Linked DNA regions of Ovis aries. The protein of the gene in region 1 interacts with the protein of each later gene in a pairwise test. Links are inferred from orthologs where the notes say so. Each region holds a gene or a part of one and is shown on either strand. Other genes may lie near its edges. The genes, in order: RFESD and HBQ1.

The links.
Region 2: the proteins of RFESD (region 1) and HBQ1 interact in binary tests that used the Homo sapiens proteins (3 or more experiments, as listed by UniProt). The two-hybrid records come from large-scale screens. The link is inferred for Ovis aries from reciprocal best matches to the Homo sapiens genes RFESD and HBQ1.

What each region holds. Positions count from the first base shown.
Region 1 is NC_056058.1:92,606,437-92,610,698, reverse strand, and holds the start of RFESD (Rieske domain-containing protein), read right to left. Parts: upstream 2,864-4,262; 5' UTR 2,801-2,863; intron 1,960-2,800; exon of another isoform or gene 1,027-1,959; 5' UTR 399-1,026; intron 1-398.
Region 2 is NC_056077.1:761,513-765,899, reverse strand, and holds HBQ1 (hemoglobin subunit theta-1), read right to left. Parts: upstream 3,106-4,387; 5' UTR 849-3,105; coding exon 754-848; intron 616-753; coding exon 411-615; intron 312-410; coding exon 183-311; 3' UTR 126-182; downstream 1-125. Other genes in the region: hemoglobin subunit alpha-1, read right to left, coding at 3,106-3,234, 3,339-3,543, 3,645-3,739.

The DNA.
Region 1 (4,262 bases):
CAAAAGAAACATGAAGTTAAAGGAATTTCTTCTTATTCTTGAGCTGAAAAGCACAAAGTTGCTTTTACTGAGTCTGGGGACTTGATCTACACTTATCAGAATGCAAAACTCCAAGGTGACACCTTTATTTTAGGTTCAGAGATGAGAAATGCCATAGCTTTAGATTTCTTTGTCTGGCAGAATAATAGATAAAACTAGCTACCTTTAGTGAGTGCCAAGTGCTTGGACTCTGCATATATGAATTCATTAATCCCCAGGAAAAAATGCCTATTTTCCAGATGAGGAAACTAAGGGTAAAGGACTTTCACAAAAGCTTGCCCAAACTCACAAAATCACAGAGAAGATTCAAACTTAGGTCTTATGTCTAAACTTTGTGAAGACTGATATATAAATCTTACCATTTTATCTAAGTAGCATCCACGGATTTATAAAAATAGGTGGCACGCATATACACTATCTTGAAGGTACAAAACCTTTTCGCAAAGATGTTTGTGTGTACCCTCCACATATATATATCCTTAGATGATGGTCTTGAATTTTTTTTAATTTAGGAAAGCCAATGTGCAAGACTCGTGTCAACAAATGTTTGAAACGAAATCAGTTCAGTTCAGTCGCTCAGTCGTGTCCTTCTCTGCGACCCCATGGACTGCAGCACACCAGGCCTCCCTGTCCATCACCAACTCCCAGAGCTTACTCAAACTCATGTCCATCATTTTGGTGATGCCATCCAACCATCTCATCCTCTGCCCTCCCCTTCTCCTCCTGCCTTCAATCTTTCCCAGCATCAGGGTCTTTTCCAATGAGTATGTTCTTTGCATCAGGTGGTGAAAGTATTTGAGTTTCAGCTTCAACATCAGTCCTTCCAATGAATATTCCCAGGACTGATTTCCTTTAGGAAGGACTGGTCGGATCTCCCTGCAGTTTAAGGGACTCTCAAGAGTCTTCTCCAACACCACAGTTCAAAAGCATCAATTCTTCGGTGTTCAGCTTTCTTTATAGTCCAGCTCTCACATCCATACATGACCACTGGAAAAACCAATAGCCTTGATTAGATGGATCTTTGCTGGCAAAGTAATGTCTCTGCTTTTTAATATGCTGTCTAGGTTGGTCACAGCTTTTCTTCCAAGAAGCAAGTGTCTTTTAAAATTTCATGGCTACAGTCACCATCTTCCCTAATAATTTAAGAGTTGCGCAGCCAGTCCTGGAATCCGCAGGTGTCGTCTGCGACATTAGAGACCTTACAGTAGCAGCTGCACTCACCTGGGTTTGAACCCCCAGCTCTGCCTGACTTGTGAGAAGTCGGCTAATGTCGCTGCGATGCAGTGTGTGCGACTATAACGCAGACCTGCACTAAGTGCAGTGGTAGGGACAAACGTCTCAGGACAGTCAAGTGTCCAGGGTGGGTCCTGGGGGTGGGAAACTCTGCAATCACCGTGGCGGTCATCTCTTAAGGGTCCTGCCAGCTCTGACAGCCTATGGGCAAGGACTTCAAGCTGTGTTCAACGTTTGAGTCAAGACAACCTGCAGTTGTCAACACCAAGCTCAAGAACCGAAAAGACAACCAGAGCGTGGCTATCAAGACATGGGTGATCATTCTGCCTGCAGACTTCAGGAGTCGGATACCCAAGACGGCTGGGGCTGCGGCAACCCTGGGGCAAGTTTCATACATTTCAGAGCACAAATGCTAAGAAAAGTGAAAGTCGCTCAGTCCTCTCCGATTCTTTAGAATTCTTCAGGCCAGAATACTGGAGCGGGTAGCCTTTCGCTTCTCCAGGAGATCTTTGCAACCCAGGGATCGAACCCAGGTCTCCCGCATTGTGGACGGATTCTTTACCTGCTGAGCCACCCGGGAAGCCCAAGAATACTGGCTAGCCTATTTCTTCTCCAGTGGACCTTCCCGACACAGGAATACGAACCAGGGTCTCCTGAAGATTGCAGGCGGATTCTTTACCAACTGAGCTATGAGGGAAGCCAAATGCCAGGAAAGCTTGTTAAAAAATGGACCAGGGAAGCGGCTGTTAAAAAGCAGAGACATTACTTTGCCAACAAAGGTCCGTCTAGTCAAGGCTATGGTTTTTCCGGTAATCATGTATGCATGTGAGAGCTGGACTATAAAGAAAGCTGAGCACAGAACTGATGCTTTTTCACTGTGGTATTGAAGACTCTTCAGAGTCCCTTGGACTGCAAGGAGATTCAATCAGTCCATCCTAAAGGAAAGTAGCCCTGAATATTCATTGGAAGGAGTGATGCTGAAGCTGAAACTCCAATACTTTGGCCACCTGATGCAAAGAACTGACTCATTTGAAAAGACCCTGATGCTGGAAAGATTGAAGGCAGGAGAAAGGGATGACAGAGGATGAGATGGTTGGATGGCATCACCCACTCAGTGGACATGAGTTTGAGTAAACTCCAGGAGTTGGTGATGGACGGGGAAGCCTGGCGTGCTGCAGTCCATGGGGTCGCAAAGAGTCGGACACGACTGAGCAACTGAACTGAACGGAAGCTGCAGGTCCGGAGTGAGGACCAGCCTTGACGGTGAACAAGCTCGATGGGCCCGCAGTGCCCGGGCAGAAGCCTGTGCTGGGGGTTCATCGTTAAGGAGAGCTGCGTCTAGGGCGGCGGGACCGCAGCGCTCAGAAGACCCAGGATGAAATGCAGCACTGCAACCGCGAACCCACCCCCAGTCTCCTGCGCCACCGGAAGCCCGAGCCCCGGGCCCGCCGCCCGGCCGGAAGTGGCTAGTCTCGCGAGCCCCGCCCCGCGAGAGGCCGCCCAGGCCCGCGCCGGGAACAGAACTTACCTTCCCTGAGTCCCTGCCCCACCTCCGCGAGACCCGGCCGCAGCGCCGCCGCGTGAGGATACTGAACCGGCCAGGGAAGCCGGCGGCCGCGTGGCGCTCCGCGTGACCGGGCGGGGCGGGGCGCCACCGCCCACGTGACCCGAGCGCGCCCGCCCCCGGGGCGGCCTCTGAGGCGTCGCGGGCTGCTGACCCTGCCTGACCGCGGCCGCCGGCTCGCCGCGCTCCGCCGGGACCTCTGAGCTGACCGTCTCAATCGTGTGTTTTACCGACGTGGGCTCCCCCACTTCATTTTAAAACGTTTGCTGAGCTCATCACATTTATCTAGATTTTGAACTCACCCGGGGGTTTTCCTTCTAGAAATTTACCTCATAAAAATATTTACTAGAGTTCGTCACGATGCGTATAATCTATGTATAATGGTGTTTATTGAACTCACTCAGGGTCTGTCTTCTAGAAATTTACCTCATAAAATATTTAGTTTGTCATGATGCATATAGTCAATGTATAATGGTGTTTATTGAACTCACCCGGAGTCTGTCTTCCAGAAATTTACCTCACAAAAATATTTAATAGGAGTTCATCACGATGCATATAATGTATGCTACTGCTGCTAAGTCGCTTCAGTCGTGTCCGACTCCGTGCGACTCCAGAGACGGCAGGCCACCAGGCTCCGCCGTCCCTGAGATTCTCCAGGCAAGAACACTGGGGTGGGTTGCCATTTCCTTCTCCAATGCATGAAAGGGAAAAGTGAAGTCGCTCAGTCGTGTCCGACTCTTAGCGACCCCATGGACTGCAGCCTACCAGGCTCCTCCGCCCATGGGGTTTTACAGGCAAGAGTACTGGAGTGGGGTGCCATCGCCTTCTCCAGCATATAATGTATAATGGTGTTTATTGCCAGAAAAGTGACAAGAGCTCAAATGAGCCTCAGCTGGGAAGTGGTTAAATACAATGTAGACATGTGAATTACTTTCTAACCACATACTCACCAGCACGGTTCATGATGTAATGAATGAATTTGTTACAAAGTATGGAATACTGTGTAGTATGCTTTCTTTGGGGGTAAATAAAAGTTATTTCTCTAGATACAAATAATGTAGATATATGCACATAAGCTTAAAAAATTGGGTCTTTAAACTTGGGGGGGGAGGAGATGGGTTTCACTCTCATCTTTTGAACTTTGCAACTTTGTTTTTTTCTATTTATGTTTCTGTGAGGAAAAAACAAAACAAAAAACCCACACACGTGCATGTGTTCAAAGTTGGAAGCTAGATGAGTCTGATAGGTTTTTATATTTTTAACTGGAGGAAAACTGCTTTATAAAAATCAGCCATATTACACGCATATGCCGACGTTCTTGAGCATCCCATCCATCCCCACTTCCCACCCCTCTAGGTCTTCACAGAGCGTCAAGGTGGGCTTACTGTGTTATATGGCAAATTTTCACCAGTTATCTCTTTTACAC
Region 2 (4,387 bases), on another chromosome or scaffold:
TACCACGTGTGAGTGGGGACCCCTTGTCCAGACTTACCGCCTCCCCTTGGGAGGACGTCCCACCCCCACTCACACCGCCACCCCACCCTCGTCAGGCCCCTAGAAAAGAACACGGGCACAGCTGGGACTCTGTCTGCGGACTTTACTCAAACACTGGAGCCCCCAGCGACCACCCTCCCAGTTTAGCCACTGCTGGGGGCCAGCGCCGAGATCACGTGGTTCAGAAACCTGACCAGTGAAGCGTGCATGTTGGGGCTGAAGTCTCCGGGGTAGTGCCGGGCGAGGGTCACCAGCAGGCAGTGGCACAGCAGCTGCAGACATACAGAGTGGTCCCCACGCGGTGCACCACCCCTTACCTGGGGGGAGCCCCCTCCCCTGGCGACGGGCGTCGGCCCCACCCGCGAGCTCACCTTGAAAAAGACCGGGTCCACGCGCAGCTTGTGCGTGTGCAGCTCGCGAAGGTACGACAGGGTGCGCGGCAGGTCGTCCAGGTGGTTCACGGCCAGGACCAGCGCGTTGGCCACCTTCTGGCCGTGGGCTCTGACCTGGGCGGAGCCGGGGCTCAAGTTTAGGTGAAGGAAGTAGGTCTTGGAGGAAGGGAAGGCCACGAAGGTCCTGCGGGAGGAACGGCGAGTGAGGCGCGTCCTGATGGCGGGGCCTCGGGAGGAAGGGCTCTGGAACCGGACGGCGGGGGACGCATCCCCCGAGCCCGCTGAAGACAGGTGAGCCCTGATGCGCCGGGGCCGTGCGCACCTCTCCAGGGCCTCCGTCGTGTAGATGCCGACGTTGGTCCCGAGCTTCCGCCACAACGCGAGCACTGCAGCGCGGTCCGCCGGCGCCAGCACCATCGTGGAGACAGCCTGCCGCGCTCTCGGCCTCTCGGTGAAGCCCGGGATGCGCCTGCGCCTGCGCCTCTCGGCCTGCTGCCCCCTTGGCCTCCGGGGGGCGCCGGGCCTCTGGTCGCAGAATCTGGCCGGGAGGGGTCTAGGAAATCTCCACGGAGCGTCAGCTCTGACCTGGGGCCTTCCCAATCGCCCTGGACCCTGAAATCCCTATTTTTGGAAACTAATATTTAGTATGTGTCAATATTAGGTGGCCCTGAATTTTAGCATGGAGTTTGGCATTGGACGTCAGTCTGTTTTCTCATTTATGGTATATAAGGAAAGTAACAGTTTCTTCTTCCCAAGGTTGTTCCTGGTTCATAGCAGATGCCCTTTTCAGGACAATGAGCATTCAGAGTGGCTAGGATAGATCCTACAAATAATAGCCAATACCTATAAAGCACTCATTCTGTGCCAGGCATCACCATACATCCTTTTTAAAAAATGCATTGAAATTCACATAAAATTTACTGTCTTAGCCATTTGAGGTGTACAATTCAGTGTCTTTAACTACATTCACACTATGTGTTACCATCACCACTAATTCCAGAACTTTCTTATCCCAAATAGAAATCTAGTTGGCGCTAATGGTAAAGAATCCACCTGCCAACGCAGGAGACTTAAGAGACATGAGTGTTGGGAACACAAGGGTTCGATCGCTGGGTCAGGATGATCCCCTGAAGGCGGGCACGGCAACCCACTCCAGTATTTTGTCAGGAGAATCCCATGGACAGAGGAGCCTGGAGGGCTGTGGTCCATAGGATCGCAAAGAGTTGGACGCAACTGAAGCGACCTAGCACAGTACAGGATAGATCCCCCACATAATAGCTCATACCCATGTAGCACTCATTCTGTGCCAGGCATCACTATACATCCTTTAAAAAAATGCATTGAAATTTGCATAACATAAAATTTACTGTCTTAGCCATTTTCAAGTGTACAATCCAGTGATTTAATCATATTCACTGTGTGACCATCACCACTATCTAATTCCAGAACTTTTTCGTAATCCCAAAGAGGAACGCTGTCCCCATCAGCAGTCAGTCCATAACGCCTGCCCTCCAGCCCCTGGGCATCACCAGTCTGCTCTTGGCCTCTGTGCATTTGCCTATTCCGGACATTTCATGTGAATAGAGCCATGCAGCACACGGTCTTTTGTATTTGCACTTCATTGCTTGTTATGGCTGGGTAACATGCCATTGTCTGTTTAGACCACATTTTGTTTGTCCTCTCATCTCTCGATGGACATTTGGGTTGTTTCCACTTTTAGTCCAGGCTCTCATTTTGCCTAATAATAAAATAAGGAAGACTGCCTCTTACTGAGCTCATATGCTAAAAGCAGAGCACATTGAGGCAGGAAACTTGCCATCCATTTTCTGACAGAGACTCTTGGGCCCAGGGAAGAAAGGACACTGCTTCCCAAGCTGAAAGCTTGGGGCTGGACCACTGCCAGGACTGGACACCTCAAGCCGCAGGCGCTAGGGGCATTCTCCACAGGAAGAAAGCACCTCTGAGTGTAGGCGCCCTGCCCCTGGCTCTCCTCTCCACAGCAGCGCCAGGGGGAGTCAGTGGGCCTCAGGGCAGTGCAGGGCAGGGCAGGCCTCAGGATCCTGAGCTGGGCCCCCCAAATCAGGCCTTCAGACCCTCAATGGCCCAGTGGGTGTCCTGAGGGGGTGTGTGTACCAGGTGACAGAGGTGCCTCCAGGACCTAGCCTGGCTCTATAAGGGCACTATGCACCCCTAGCTTCCTCTAGGCACTTGGTGGGGAGGGAGGCACCCAGAGGGCCTCTGTGTTCTCAGCACCACCCAGCTCTGGGAGCAGCCCCGGGAGAGCTCCGAGTCCTGGCTTGAGGTCCACCAACAAATTGATCATTTGCACAAAAAACTCCGTGATGAACATGCAAGGCTCTGGGATGAATTCAGGGAAGGGCCAAGATACTCAGAAATCACTCCAGGCTGAGGGTGAGGGCTGCCCAGAGAATCCCAGGTAGTGGCAGTGGGGCAGGCTGCACCCCCACCCCTCCATCCAGTTTTCCCCTTCTCTCTCTCTGCCTGAGAGCTCCTTGGTCTGAGGCAATGAGAACCTGGGCCGGTTCGCGGACAGAGACCCGAGGCTACAGACAGACACTGCAGCCCACTCAGACTTTATTCAAAGATCAGGAGGTGAGAGTGCGCAGAGCGCAAGGGCGCTCCAGGCCAGGGTAGGGGTCGCCGAGGCTCCAGCTTAACGGTATTTGGAGGTCAGCACGGTGCTCACGTTGGCCAAGAACTTGTCCAGGGAGGCGTGGACCGCGGGGGTGAAATCATTGGGGAGGTGGCAGGCCAGGGTCACCAGCAGGGTGTGGCTCAGAAGCTGCCGAGAGAGGGGACGTCAGTGGGGCGGGGGCTGGGTGGGGGCGCCGCCGCATTCTCCGCCCCGCTAGCCCAGGTCTGTCCCGGCCCGGCCCGCGAGCTCACCTTGAAGTTGACCGGGTCCACACGCAGCTTGTGGGCGTGCAGGTCACTCAGATCAGACAGGGTACCGGGCAGGTCGTCCAGGTGGCCCACCGCTTTGGTCAGCGCGGCGGCCACCTTCTCGCCGTGGCCCTTGACCTGGGCGGAGCCGTGGCTCAGGTCGAAGTGGGGGAAGTAGGTCTTGGTGGTGGGGAAGCTCAGGAACATCCTGGGTGAAGAGGCGGGAAAGCCGGGCTCAGGCCGAGCGGCCCGGGACAAGGACGCGCCCGGCGAGCGGCCCGGTCCCCTCGGGGCGGGTGCGGTGCTCACCTCTCCAGAGCCTCTGCGCCATAAGCTCCAGCGTTGCCGCCAACCTTGCCCCAGGCGGCCTTGACATTGGACTTGTCGGCGGCAGACAGCACCATGGTGGGTTCTCTCTGAGTCTGGGTCGGGACCAGAAGCGTGCGGGGCTGCGAGTGCGCGAGCCTTTATGCGCCCGGCGCCAGGAGCACGCCCGCCCGCGCTGCGCTCATTGGCTGGCACGCGGCATGCGCGGCCGGACCAGGACCGCAGGGGGCGCGCGGAGTCCGACCTGCGCCCGGCCGGGCGATGGGTGCTTCCCTCACCCACCCAGACCTGGACTCTGACCGGGGGTTCTTGCTTCCACCGTCTGCTTCCCGCCCGCTGCGTCCACCTTCCCCGGACGTGGTAGCCTCGCGCCAGGTGGCAGGGGTGGGATTGTGGAGCTGGGTAGATGCCCGCTCCTGCATCCTGCAGGAGTTCCCCAGCTGTCTTGAGAACGGAAGGGAGTAAGTCAGCCCGTGCTACCCACCCCGGACCTAGGCTTGGCACACTCTGGGCATTTTAAACTTGGGCAGTATCAGTGAAGGAACGGGCGACTGAGTGCGCCTAGTCCATGCCAGAGGCAGCCGGACGCAACACACTTGGCTCACCGTTCGCATGTGATCAGCGAATTCCTCCCCACCGCCGTCCAACCCTCCTGTTCCTCTTCAGCCTTGGCGCTCCCAGATTCCTTTCTTTCCGCAGAGAGTTTTTGGGTGCAACTGAGTGGC